Rhinolophus ferrumequinum: one gene and its partner. Each later gene encodes a partner of the first gene's protein in a complex. Links are inferred from orthologs where the notes say so. Each region holds a gene or a part of one and is shown on either strand. Other genes may lie near its edges.

Region 1 (7,300 bases):
TATACAAGTTTTTCACATGCCCTTCAGGATTCTCTATTCCTGGCCTGCCTACCGCTACAGCTTCAAATCAAGACCAATGTTCCCTGAGATCCCTAGATTCGAGCTATACCACTCTTCTAGATCCTCTGTCAGAACAAGCTCCTTTCCATGCGAAGCTGCTTCTCCCCATTTGGAAGCTTCTTAACTCTTCTAAGCTCTCTGGTGGAAGTTTCCTCTAACCCCTCGCCTGACTTGTATTAAGCTGCCTGTTTAAATGCTGCCTCTAAAGTGGACTGTTTCTCGACAACCTCGTCTAAATTTCTGTTTCTCACATAGGAGACTATTTTTTTCCTTCACAACACTTAACCCAACTTGAAATTGTACAATTACTTGTATATCTACATAAATAAACATACCATCCGTCTCTTTCACTATACTATGTGGTTTATAACTATATCCCCAGCTACTACTGTGTTTCCCCAAAAATAAGACCTAACTTGAAAATAAACCCTGATGCGTCTTTTGGAGCAAAACTTAATATAAGACCCGGTCTTATTTTTGGCGAAACATGGTATCATGCGGTCTGGTCTGTCACAAAATAAATATTCAAAAAAGTATTCAATAAATAATGCTTAATGAATGAGTGAATACCCCAGAACAGGTGTTGGCAAACAACACCTGCAGGCCAGTCACCTGTTTATGTAAATAAAGTTGTATGGAAACAAAGCCATGCCCACTGTGCTAAGAATTGTTATGGCTGCTTTTGTGCTTCAACGGCAGACAGAGTTCAATAGCTGTAGCACAGACCAAGCCTAAAAATATTTATTAGCTTGCTTTAAAAAAAAAGTTTGCCTCTGACTGCTTAGAGTAAAACATCCATTTTGAAAGGAAAGAATGAAAACTAACCATATGCTGTAATTATTATTTACTCTGTCCAGCTGAGTCGCAAACTGCCATCCATTGAATACTATTAACCTTAATCACCAATATCAAATAGAAAATTGAATACTGAACACTTAAGTATCTCTAAATGTTAATATTTGGTTGATGACATCTACTTTATTCATTAATCTATTAAAGTATCCCTTAAAATAATCCAAAATTTAAAGTAAGTAAATAATATGGATTGTATACATACATTTCATGCAAGTCTCACCGGTGAGCATATCTCAGCTTTATGGGGAACACTGCGTTGTAACATAAAGCATTAATTCAATCAGGAGCCTATTAAAACAAAGAGGATTTATTTGGAATATGAAAGTTCCAAACAAAAATTGTATTCTTCAGGCATAATTATGTCATTGTTTATACCAATCAGTTTTAACTCATCATGTTTATACCAGTTTCTCTCATCTCAATCGTATGCAAATAACTTGAGTACATTTGGATCAGTTTAGAGCACAAAATAAAGTGAAGAAGCAAACTGGATCATATTTGAATAAAATACTTACATTTTTAAAACAAAAACAATTTTTAAATTTTGAAAGGCAGTAAACATCTAACTTGGTATGTTAACACACTTTTCATTAAATGTTTTAAGTAAAAAATGAACATTTCAATGCATTTTTAAGAAACCAAATTCCATCTCAGGATTGACTTTCCTAAGAGCATACACTCTTATATTAGTAACCTATGCTTGTGGGGAGCACATTCACAGACAATGAATTTACAACTCTGTGCCTGTGCTCGCCTTGGCAGTACATATACTAACAACCTCTGTGCCTACCACTGAAAATGCTACTGCAGTAGAAAAGCTTAGCAGAAACATTCATCCTCTTTCTCAAATAAATACCTGCGTGTGTATTATTAAGTATCAAAACCATGAGTAACCAGTACATATATACCTGAGTTTCCAATTTTACTCAAAGAGATGGAGGTGTGTCCAAAACAAACAATTCTCACATTAGAACATGCTATGCATAGATTTTTAAGAGTAAAACTGAAGACATTAAAAAGAAAAGAGAAACATAATTTGAGTTGGCTCAGCAATGATCAGTTAAGGCTCCAGATCCCTGGGGTCCATATTCCTTTTCCTTTGGTATCAGGGCATTTTGGACAGAAAAGACTGAGAAAAAAATGGTAGAAAGAAAAAAAAATGATTATACATATACACCTAATTATGGGAGTTCACTTATGTGAACTCCATCTAGTATGCAGATAAAAGACATCACTAAATCCACATAGCAAAAACTCCTATACTTTAGTGTAAGAGCCTATACTCATATTTACATTTTAGTAAATACAGATTTAATAAGCCTGGCCATCTATTTTCCAGTTATCCCAAATTCGAAAAGAGAGAGGCTGCACAACCATTTGGTAGGGATTTGTAAATAGCCTACGTATTTTTTCTATTTTTATACCTATCAAAAAGACCCTATTCATGTAATTCGACTCTTATAAACGTAAAGCATCGATCACATTTTCTCAGATGTAATTAACAAGGTATTCAAAGGTTCAATATTCAGCACCAGGTTGGCATCCTAAAAAGAACGAAGCGAACTTACAACGCATCTGATTTAAAAGCATTTAAACCATAATCGGACGTAGGAGAAGCAAAGATTACATTCACTCCTTCAGGACACGGCGCCGAAGTCCGGAGCCAAGAAGTCCAGGCGAGGGAGCAGAAAAGTATGCTGATGTATTTCCCCAAAACCACATCCATCCGCTCGGCGGCGCTTGGCCGCTAAGCTTGCAGTGGCGCAGTGCCACCTCCACGCCCTCGGATCCACACAGCCCCCCACGCCACTGCCCCCCGGGAAGGCCGGGGCCGACCGAGTGCCTGGGCCCGGGCTCCCGCCACCAGCGCGCCTGCTGCGTACTCACGGGTAGGAGAGCGCAGTACGGCAGACAGCCCGTCTCGCCAGAGCCAACCCCGGGACAATGCGAAGCGGCTTCCCGCGCTACGAGGAGCCCGCTGGGCGTAAAACGGCAACAGGGCTACCCCCGCCGCCAGTAACCCCGGCTCTGAAAAAGCGGTGGAAGCCGCAGTGCAGACAGCGCGCCGCCCGCTGACGTCAGCTCCTACCTACGCCACCGTTCCCTTGACAACCGATGCGGCCCAGCCTGGACCGCTGCCCTGCTTCCCGCCCCTCGGCTGTCCCCGCCCTGCGCCGCCTCCGTCTCCGCCCGTAGGTCCAGACGTGCGGCGCCTGCAGAGGCGGCGTGCGTGCGCGCCCGCCCGTTCGCGAAGCCACAGACTGCCGCCGGGAACGCGCTCCGGAACCGGAGTCCGAGCGGAAAGCTCAAGGCCGCTGTGCGGCCCTAAAAGGGAGAAGAATCCACTACCTCTGAACGGCAAGGGGCCCCGGGGATGCGCAGGTGCCCCTGGAGCCTCAGCCCGCCCCCCAAAAGCGTCTCTGCGCCTTTGGCCTGCAACCAGCGCTGGGTAAAGCGGTAGGGGGCAGAGCGAGCTGGGAACGCGCCAAACCTAGGAAACGTGAATGAGGGGAAGAAACAGATTCATCACTCCCCACGCGATGGCGCCCCAAAATGAAACATTCTTTTAAGCGTGGAGAATGAAAAGTTGTACTACAGATCAAATCTTAAGGAAAAAATTGGCCACGATTCATTTGGCGGTGAGTTATCTCACTATGTATTTAAAGCAGAACAAAAACGTCATCTTTTTTCCACACCCAATACCCCCTCCCACTTGCTAATTTCTGCCCCAAGCGCCATCTTTAGCCCTGAGTCACCAGGGATGGAAAAATACTAGACAAGTCACTCTTCGACTCTGGAATTTTCTGTAGTTGTACTCACGCACTATAATAACCTGTTGCTTCGTTTGTACATTGAGAGCCTATTTGGAGGCCAGCTTTTCCATTCCCATTGGCATCACCGTACGTTACAAAGCACATCTCATTTAGTGTTTCTCCAAATCCTGTGAGAAGGCGCTGAGAAATATTACCAGTCCAGTGCGTCTCAAAGTGAACTGGTCACCTTTCCACTCAAAACCTACTTCCCTTTCCGGACTACTATCTTGGTTTAAGCCACCATCATCCTTCCAGGGTTGTAGTTAGACACGTATGGAACATCCTAAATACCTCTCACACCCAATTATGTCCATTCTACCTTTTTAACGTCCCCAGTGTACAGCTGATCCATCGTAACCCCCCCTACACCCCCCCTGCCTAAAGCCAGCCTTCATGGCTTCACAGGGATTATAATAAGAGGGCCTCTTTATCAGTGCCCTGACCCGTTTGGATCACTGAATTCCATTCTCCACACTGCTAACCAGAATGAGCTCACTAAAAATATAAATCTGATAATGCCACTCTCCTGAAAATTTTTCGAAGATGATCTGTAGGAGAAAACTCTAGTTATTTTGCCTATAATACAAGACACTCCATCTCCCTGACTAGTTTCATTTCTCATTGCCTTGTTTCTGTGTTATGCTTCAGCAATATTGAAGTAGGTGCACCACAACAATCTATTGCACAGATTGTGCTCTTTCCCTGAAAAGCCCTCCTTATAAACTTGTACTTCTGCGTGTCTCAGCCCAAATGTTGTCCATCCTTTGAATCTTAAGTAGGTTGAGTAATTCCTCCAAACACTCCTACTATATATCCTATTATGCTTTGGACACTCATTCTTTTTTAATATTTTAATTGTTTGCGTTGTACTTTAGTTTGTGTAGGCCCAGCATGAAGCACAGTACCTATTAAATAATGTGCTGCTTCATGAACCTTTGTGAACGAGTAATGGATGACATACGAGGTCTGTCAATTAAGTTCACGATATTGCTAACTTTTTTTGATATCAGAAGGATTATTCATTATGAATTTGTACCAACTGGATACATAGTTAACCAAGTTTACTATTTGGAAGTGCTGAAAAGGCTGCCTGAAAAAGTTAGATGAAACAACCTGAATTTTTCGCCAACAATTCATGGCTCTTGCATCACGACAATGCACCAGCTTACACGGCACTGTCTGTGAGGGAGTTTTTAGCCAGTAAACAAATAACTGTATTGGAACACCCTCCCTACTCATCTGATCTGGCCCCAATGACTTCTTTCTTTACCCGAAGATAAAGGAAATACTGAAAGAAGACATTTTGATGACATTCAGGACATCAAGGGTAATATGATGACAGCTCTGATGGCCATTCCAGAAAAAGACTTCCAAAATTGCTTCAAAGGGTGGACTAGGTGGCATCGGTGCATAGCTTCCCTAGGGAAGTACTTCGAACATGACCATAGTGATATTCAGCAATGAGGTATGTAGCACTTTTCTAGGATGAGTTCACGAACTTAATTGTCCTACCTTGTATATTGAGCTCCTTCTAGGAGCTATGCATTACAGGTGTTTTATGTACTTTTCATCTGTCCTCACAACTGTGATGTAAGTACCCACTTTTACAAAGAGAGGTTATAACTCTGGCTGCTCATTCTTAGTCAGGTATTTTCATAACACATTCTGCAGTTTATCAGACTGGCTGAGATGTATACCAGTCGTCTCTTGCCCAGACCTTTACAATAGCTTCCCCCGCCCCCCAGGTATAATGGGGGCGGGGTTGGGGGTGGCAGGGAATGTTTCACAACAGAAGTGACATTTAAAAATATGTAGAGTTGTCCAGGTTGGGAACGGTTTCTGGGTAGAAGAAAGTGGGGTATAGAGTTCACTTAAAGAAAACTTGGCACAATCCAAGAACTGAAGTAAATTCAGCATGGCTAACTGAAAAGTCAAGAGTGAGGTGAGGGGCTTTGGGAGAAAGTAAGACAAGAGAGAGAAGCAAGTTATGAAGAGACTCAGTATTATAGGGTCAATGAGATATCATTAAAGATTTTTAACCATGGAATAAAATGGTCAAATTTTAATTTCAGAAAGGTAACTCTGGCTGCAGTGTGGATGATTGATGGGAAGAAAGCAAATTTAGATAATAGGGATATGAGTTAAGATGCTGTTACTGTTAGCTATATAATGGTGGTGATATGGGCAGTCAGAGACGAGAAGTGCACCAATTCAAGAGATTTTTAAGAGATAGAAATGTCAAGACTTGATGATTGATTGGATGGAGGACTGAGTGAAAAGAAGGATTAAAACATGATAACCAGCTCATTTGCCTCCTTCTTGCCAAGTGAAAAGGTAGCAAGCATGTCAGGGCCTGAAGTTTACATGAAAGGGAAGTGAGGAAATAACTATATTGAGGCTAGTGGGAGCCAAGTCTCCCTAACAGAGAAGGGAGTTACAAATAGGGAAAGGAAGCATTCCAGAATGGCCCTTGTGGTGGTATTGGGGTATTGAATATGTAAACTCAGTTTTCAATATATATATATGTGAACACATACGGAAATACAGATAAAAGTATATGTGTATGTAGGTGTGTATTCTATCATCTATCTATCTATCTATCTATCTATCTATCCTCTTAGTTCTATCTGCTGAAAAGGTGTAGGAGCAATGATACCCTAGAAGCAATTATCACACAATGCCTTTTTTTTTTCCCCCCAAGGAGGGCACAGCTCACAGTGGCCCATGTGGGGATCGAACCGGCAACCTTGGAGTTATTAGCACCACGCTCTAACCAACTGAGCTAACCGGCCACCCCCCTAGATCATGGTTCCTAAACACCATTCTCTGCTGAAAGGAACTAGAGCCCCTTGGAGAAATGGCTGATTCCAGAGTAGCAGCAGGGAAAGTACAGCATGAGTCTGGAAAATCTGGTTGAGCTGGAAATTAAGGAAGTTCTCAAAGAATGATGGATCAAGAGGACATAGAAACCAACTGGCAGGAGCCCTCATTGGCCACATCTGGGGCAATCTGAGAACCACTATAGTGTTAATAGATTATGATCCACTGAATAAAATAGAAATAGATGAGTTCATGCTGAAATAAATACATGGATTTTTAAAATGGGGACAAAGAAAAGTTCTTCCCTACCTTAGAATGCTAATTAATGTGTTGAAGGAATAATATAAGTAGAAACATCACCATTGACAACTGTCGCAGCAAAAATTGATTTAGGCAAGAATCATCAATGTATGCCAAAACTAGAGGGTAAGAATTTTGAAAGGAACATAATATTCATATAGTCTCAAAATATCTCCCAATCAAATACTTGTTGATTACAAAGGGTAAAAATAGAAACTTGACAGTGCAGAAATTTGGCACTGGTGACCAAAGTTACTATCCCAGTAATAGGACAAATCAACACTGTGCCACCTAGTGAGAGACACTTATAACACACTGCTGTGATATTTCTGCCAAAACACACCACCTGAATCTAATCTTGAGGAAAGATCAGACAACCCCAAATTGCGGGACATTCTACAAAATAATAGGTGTGTACTCTCAAAAGTATCAAGGTCATAAAAGACAAAGGA
Region 2 (7,384 bases), on another chromosome or scaffold:
AATATTGGCTAATAAAAAAGAACTGATATTCTAAAGAATGATCTCAAATTGGGGCAGAAATCTCACTCTCAGGCTCCTAGTACTTCCTAAGGCAGGAAAGCAGGATAATTTTCAACATAGACTAAACCATGGTGTAGTCCAGGTAGCCAGAAAAAAATAATCTGACTACAACATCCCATTCTCCAAGCATTTTTACAACATTAGAAGTAAATTCAATTTCCCATTAGTCAGTAAAATAGTTTCTCATGGGAAAAACACATTGTACTTGCAAAAAGCTTTCAATCTATCAAGTATCAATTACTACCACTTGCTACAAGGTTAAATTTAAATTGGCTATCTTTGAATAGTATGTTGATCCCATCCTGAATAAATTAGCCTCTTTAAATGCTGTTTTTTCCCAGAAGTTTTGAAATCTGAATTAGGAGAAACAGATCATTCAGAAAGGATTATTTCTTTACCGTGTAATGGACTGGGAATGTCATTTTCCATTATTTTCCTATATGATGTGAACTGTGAGAATTCCTGGTAGATTTACACATCAGAAAAATATAAACAAAGCTTACCTGACTATTTAATTTTTTTGTTATAAGTACTATGTCCACCACAAAAGCTGTAAAATTGAACTGTACCTTTCACCCTAGGCTGTAAATACAACTAATTCACTGATACAAAAATGTGACATGTTATCTCTTTACAAATCAAACTGAAATGTAATTCCATCTTTGAACACAAAGATTTTGTTATACTCTTTTTAAAAAGTACACTCTCTTCTCTTTTGCCTGCACTATCATCTGGCTGGATGCAAATAAGGGATAGATAACTCTTCTGTATACAGGTTTGGACAACATGGCTTCTGAATGATGCAAAACTCAGAAAATCAGGTTTGGGTGTTTTAGCCTGGGGGAGTTTTCACTTTCCGTCCTGAAAGTTTATAATCTTGGTCCGATTTTATCAAAACTGCATGTGTCACAAACTTACGTGACAACTGAAACTGAGCAAGCAGAAAAGACACTGAAATCCATGGAGCTGCAATCGGGATCACAACAGCAGTTGACGTCACACTGTGCTGGGGACAAGTCACAGACACAAAGAGCAGCAACTACAGAAAGACAGGTGGGATACAGAGCATCACAATCTGCAGGTAGTGACCGCGCCCCCTGCCACTGCAATGTACCAAAAGTCCATTTCATACAAAAGGCCCATTTGGTTTTTCCTATTGCAATTTGGGGGAAATTTACGAAGTGAAAATCAATCAGTTCCAGCACTCCTCAAGCTGGGGTTTCCCCAAAGTGGCCAACCATCTCACTCACTTGGAACGTTGTTTGTGCTCTATATACAAAGACTCTGATCTGGTAAGCTGACTGTGAAACCCAGACATCCGTGTTGTTCAAAAACTTTCCAGGTGATGCTGATAACTCAGACAGGTTTAAGAACCAGCAAACTAAATCACTTGCCTGACCATAAGAACCACCGGTTTAATACTGCAGATTCCCAAATTCCTCCCCTAGAGATTGATTCAGAGGAAGGGCCCACTTAAGGCCACCAGGAATCAAGGTTCTCAATCTTCTTTCTCTCCTCAGACATCACCTGCAGTTTTGAGGCTGAGCCCACATTAGCAGGCTATTTATTGGCCAAGAATCAAAATGACTCAAGTGCTTTATACTTGGGGCCGTAGGAATATCTCTAGTAATATAGACAATAAAGCATGGGGAAAGGTAGCAACTTTTAATTTTTTAATAATGACGACTATCTGGATTTTTAATTCCCTATTTTAATCTGTCAAATGGGGGGTGGGAACCCCTTTTAAAGAAATAACAGAGCATGAGAATGATAAACTCTGAACTCATAGCAGTAATTATTTCTGGGTAGGCAGGAAACACATTAGCACTTCAATATTAACCTGCAATGTTTTCTTTTTTTCAAAAGGATTTCATGCAAAAACAACCCCCCCCAAAAAAAGGATCTCAAGTAAATGCTGGAAGAGAGTCCATAAAACATTCTTATTCGCATGTATGAATTATTTCATAATAAAAATGACTTTTAGAAAAATGTAGCTCAAAAAAGGTACAATAACATACTCTGGAAAGAAGTGTGTAAGGACAAAGGGAAGGTTTTGTCAATAAATACAAAATCCTCTCGTAGTCTGAAACACAAAAGTTTTCCCACTTAAGTTTTTTAATTTTTTAAAGATGAATCCTAAAAAGTGGACATAACCCTTCACCCCACAACTTCCCATCTCGAACTCAACACAAGAGGAATTCGGGGTTTTCATAATTCAAGTTAACAGACAGTGAGATTTCACCTGGTTACATTTAGTAAGGTAAACTTTTGGGGTCTCTTTTTGGTAAGTGAAAAGTTCAGTGCATCCTATGCATTTAATTTCCACAACTGTCTAGACACTTTCGGTTTAATTGCGACTTTGGCTGCAAAGGCTCATTTATTATTACCTTGCGCATGAATGTTGTCCAAGACCTCTGCAAGTACTTTCAAGGATTTGATATTGTCCCAATTAAAGCTCTGTTAGCCTCGGCTTTCTCATCTGTATGGCAAGGATAATATCTACCTCTGAAGGTTGTTGAGAGAATTAATGCCTATGAAACGCTTAGCAATGCCTGCACAAAGTAAGTGTTCAATAAACGGTAACTATCATTATTATTACATCCTCATCCGGGCTACCCCTCCAGGATGGATCACTCTGGATCCCCAGGATTTGGCATTTAGTACCCACCATCCGTGACTGGGGTGGGCCTGGGACCGGAGAAGGGCCCGGGGACCCTGGGGAGTCCCGGGGGCCTAGGAGACAAGGCAGGTCGGAAATTCGTCGGGGATGGCTCCGTAGAGTTGAGAGCCTCCGTCGTCACCGCCAGGGTGGCCCCGGCCTGGGCGCGCACAGAGGCCCAGCAGTCCATAAGTACCAGCAAGAGCGGATGGAAGCCGAGGGGCGACATCGCCGCCGCGAACCCGTGCGGCCAGCGGTAGGGACCGCGCGTTGCCTGGCAACCACAGCGGCCGGCGCGGGGCTTCACGGGAAGTATCCTGCGAAGACACGCGAGACTGGGGCTGAGGGCGGGGCCTGGGTGAGGCGGGCCACCGCGGGACTGTGCGACAAGGGGCGGTGAGAGACCGGTCGGCGGAGACTAGAGGTTTGTGTATATCAGATTTGCGGTTCCCAAGCCGACTGGGGCGCTTGTTTAAAAAATGCGGATTTCCAAATTCCATCTCAGGGGATTCTGACTCAGACAGTTTTGGGCAGGGTCCAGGAATCAATATTTTCAACAAATGTCCGGACGCAACCGGTGGGGGGACAGAAATTTGGGACGCTACTAAATAAGGTCTTTTGAAGGAGCACAGAGATGACATCACCATCCTTGAATTTTCTCTATCCCACACTGTCACCACTTGGTTTGCCTTTTTTGTTTTATCTCGCAGCAGGTCGCCAGATAACTTCAGCTCGTTGTGTTGTGATAAAGGGGACAAATGAACACTTAACTTTTTTACAGTCAAAAAACATTGACAAAAATTAAGTGGAATGACTTACAAGTATTAAAAGGAAAAAAATCAAAGCAACTCTGTAACTCTAAAAATGACTTGAAGACTACAAAATTAGGGGAGCCCCTCCATTCCAAAGTGACTTATGTACAGAGATACTCCGGCCCAGGATGTTTGCAATACCTTTGATACTTAATATCCTTGTAATTCAGAAGTAAATGTCAGAATACTTAAACATATCATGGTATTTATTTAAAAAACACATTTACCAGTTTAGAAGAATGCCCAAACAGTATATATATCTAGTTTATTGAATTTATATAGCAAAGCTAAATCATCAAAGGGACATCTTTAGTACTTTTCTGTGGCATTCCAAAGTGTATAAAAATGTAATTGAATCAAATGTGTAATACTGATATTTCCTTTTTTATTTTCTACAAAGGATTGCTTTAACATGTGACTGAAATTCTGGACTACTTTTAATAACTGATGTAATGCTTACCTTTAACAAAAACAACAACTATATTTTCCAAACTTTCATCCCATAACTCTAAATCCAGCACTATTGTTTTTTAAAAACCTGTTTACTTCTAGATACTTTCTTTTCTATTCCTTAATATCTGTGAATCACTCTGTCCTATTTTCTGTTTTGAAACTTTAGGCTGTTAGATTAAATTTAACATTGTCATCTTTATGCTTTATGGTTTAGGAAATAATCTCACCACCCCGTTTGTCCACTCTCAGATACTTGGGAGATGACCCAAACGTAATTTTATGACAGTTTAGAAAATCGAAATGAGGGTTGAATCACCTCAGATCCATTTTGCAAACCTTGGGAACGCTAAACTTGTCATTTCACAGGTGACCCATTTCTGCCACGCTTTTTTCATCTTTCAACCCAGATGATCCTTTCTCCCTTCCTTCTCCCCTGGCCTTGGTAGGTTCCCTTATTAGGATGGAAGGACACAAGGAAGGGCTAAGATTTCCATATTTTGTCCAAAACTGCAACATTTAGGTTGTAGGGTAAATGTTTGTGATTAAAAATGTCCATCTGTTTCTCCTAGATTATTGGCATTCTCAATTCCTCATAGTCTGTGCCAACATTGGGAGGAATCAGGACAATTCAGCTTTTTGGAATTTTGTACTTGGAAGCTGCCACATATGAGGAGGCTGAAAACAAACCAAAGACAGAAGTACTAGCTAGGCAGAAAAATAGCTAAGGCTGACTTTACAAGGCCGGGTTAACCAGTCGGTCTTGGTGTTTCCTGTGGTTTGGGATGAATTGGTTATTATTATTATTATCGCTAGAGTCATAGTTTCTAAGCTGTTTTAGAAACAGTTTTTCCTATGATCAAGTATATCTACCCATCTTTATTCATCTGAGCCAAATATTTTACAAATAAGAAGGCAGAATCATCAAGCTTTATAAAGGGATTGCTTAGACCTACAGGGAGGTCCAGGCTGTGTAAGGACAAAGGATTGACTCTATTGTTTTGATTGAAGTGAGCAATCTAGCAATAGATTTCTAGATCAGCACTCAGAAGAAAGCAATCCTCAACTTCTCTACTCCTCCCATTCCCCAAGTGCTTAGTCAACCACCAGTGCTATTCTTGCTCTTCAGATGTTGTCTGAAACATGAGGGCAAGAAGGCCTATTGAGCAGACTTCACTATCTTGAAAGGTTTCAAATGTACAAGTTTGACCTTTTCTGAAAATGAAGTTATAAATACGGTCACAGACATAACACTGACAGGAATGAAATAAGAATTCCTTGTTTATCAGACAACTTTAAACTTGCGTCCTATTAGACCATACTGCAGTTTGAATAAACTAGTTAGCTTTTTAAGAATCATTATTGTTTTTATTATTTTCAGATTGAAGCATTTCAATCACAATGAAAGGTACAAAAAAGAACACTGTACACTGGACCAAGACCATGCAGATTAGAACTTTTGTCATATTTACCCCACTTTTCTTTTTAGTTTTATTGAGGGATAACTTAATACAGTATAAATTTTTATGTACAGTTTCTGATATCCAGGTTTTTCTCATGCATCAATGTACATTTTTTTTGGTGTACAGTTTTATGAGTTTTAACAAACACATACAGTCATGTGATCCCAACCACAATCAAGGCATAGAACAATATTACCACTCCCAAAAGTTCCCTCATGCCCCTTAATAGTCCCTCCCGCCATCCCAGCCCTTGATGACACTGATCTATTTTCTCTCCCTATGGTTTTCCCTTTTCCAGAATGTCACATCAGTGGAAGCATAGAGAATGCAGCCTTTTGAGCCTGACTTCTTTCATTTAGCCTAATGCCTTTGAGATTCATCCATCTTGCATGTATGAGTATCAACAATCCATTCCTTTGATGATGATGATGATTGTAAAAAAAACATACAACATTAAATTTGCCATCTTAATCATTTTTCAAGTGTACAATTCAGTACTGCTAAGTGTTTTCACATTGTTGTGAAACAGATGTCTAAAACTTTTTCATCTTACAACACTGAAACTCTGTAGCCACTAAACACTAATTCCACCTTCACCTTCCCCCCAGCCCTTGGTAACCACCTTTCTACTTTCTATTTCTTTAATTTTGACTACTTTAGCTACTTTATATGAGTGGAATCATACAATACTTGTCCGTTTGTGACTGGCAAGTTACACTTAGCATAATGTCCTTAAGGGTCATCCAGGTGGTAGCAGGTGACAGGATTTATTTTTTAAGGCCACATGATACTCCATTGTATGCGTATATCTCATTTTCTTTATCCTTTCATCTGTGGATAGACATTTGGGTGGCTTCCACCTCTTACCTATTGTGAATAATGCTGCTATGTACATGGGTGTGCAAATATCTCTTTGGAACCCTGCTTTGAATTCCTTTGGACGTATACCAGAAGTGGGATTGCTGGATCAAATGTAATCTGTTTAAAAATTTTTTTAGGAACCTCCATACTGTTTTCCACAATGGCTGCGCTATTTTACATTCCCACCAACAATGTACAAGAGTTCCAACTTTTCCACATCCAACATTTATGATTTTCTCTTCTTTTGATAGTAGCATCCTGACAGGTGTGAGGTAATAGCTCACTGTGGTTTTGATTTGCGTTTCCCTAATGATTAGTGATGTAGAGCATCTTTTCTTGTGCTTATTGGCCATTTGTATCTCTCCTTTGGAGAAATGTCTATTCAAGTCCTTTGCCAATTTTTTAATCAGCATTTTGTTGTTGCTGAGTTGTAGGAGCTCCTTATATATTCTGGATATTAATCCCTTATCAGATATATGATTTGCAATCATTTTCTCCTATTCCATAGGTTGTCTTTTCACTGTTGAATGTCTCTTTTGATATACAGAAGTTTTTTAGTTTGATGTAGTCCCATTTGTCTATTTTTCCTTTTGTTGTCTGTGCTTTTGGTGTCATAGTCAAGAAATCATTACCAAATCCAATGTTCAAGCTTTTCTCTGATTCAGTTTTCTTCTAGGAATGTAATAGTTTTAGGCCTTGCATTTAGGTATTTACACCATTTGAGTTAATTTTTGTATATAGTGTCAGGTAAGGGTCTAACTTCATTCTTTTACATGTGGATATCCAGTTTTTAACCATTTGTTGAAGAGATTGGCCTTTCCTCATTGTGTAGTCTTGGCACCCGTGTTAAAAATCAGTTGGCCATATATGCAAGAGTTTATTTCAATCCACTCCTTTTTATTGCTGACAAGTGTTCCATAATGGATATGTGACAATTTCTTCTTTGCCAGTTGAAGTAATTTGAGGTTTTCCAGTTTTTGGCAATGACATATAAGACAGTTTTTAAACATTCACATACAGGTTTTGTGTGAACATGCATTTTCATTTCTTTTGGGTACATACCTAGGAGTGAGATTTCT

What was found. The genes of interacting proteins can lie anywhere in the genome.
Region 2: AHI1 (region 1) and TCTN1 share a complex: the UniProt entries of both Homo sapiens proteins name them as parts of the tectonic-like complex. The link is inferred for Rhinolophus ferrumequinum from reciprocal best matches to the Homo sapiens genes AHI1 and TCTN1.

What each region holds. Positions count from the first base shown.
Region 1 is NC_046286.1:81,984,944-81,992,243, forward strand, and holds the start of AHI1 (jouberin), read right to left. Parts: upstream 3,012-7,300; 5' UTR 2,803-3,011; intron 2,709-2,802; exon of another isoform or gene 2,484-2,708; intron 2,045-2,483; exon of another isoform or gene 1,824-2,044; intron 1,204-1,823; 5' UTR 1,146-1,203; coding exon 1,118-1,145; intron 1-1,117. UniProt on the Homo sapiens protein: Involved in vesicle trafficking and required for ciliogenesis, formation of primary non-motile cilium, and recruitment of RAB8A to the basal body of primary cilium.
Region 2 is NC_046308.1:6,242,954-6,250,337, reverse strand, and holds the start of TCTN1 (tectonic-1), read right to left. Parts: upstream 3,010-7,384; 5' UTR 2,949-3,009; coding exon 2,729-2,948; intron 2,613-2,728; exon of another isoform or gene 2,448-2,612; intron 1,100-2,447; coding exon 979-1,099; intron 1-978. UniProt on the Homo sapiens protein: Component of the tectonic-like complex, a complex localized at the transition zone of primary cilia and acting as a barrier that prevents diffusion of transmembrane proteins between the cilia and plasma membranes.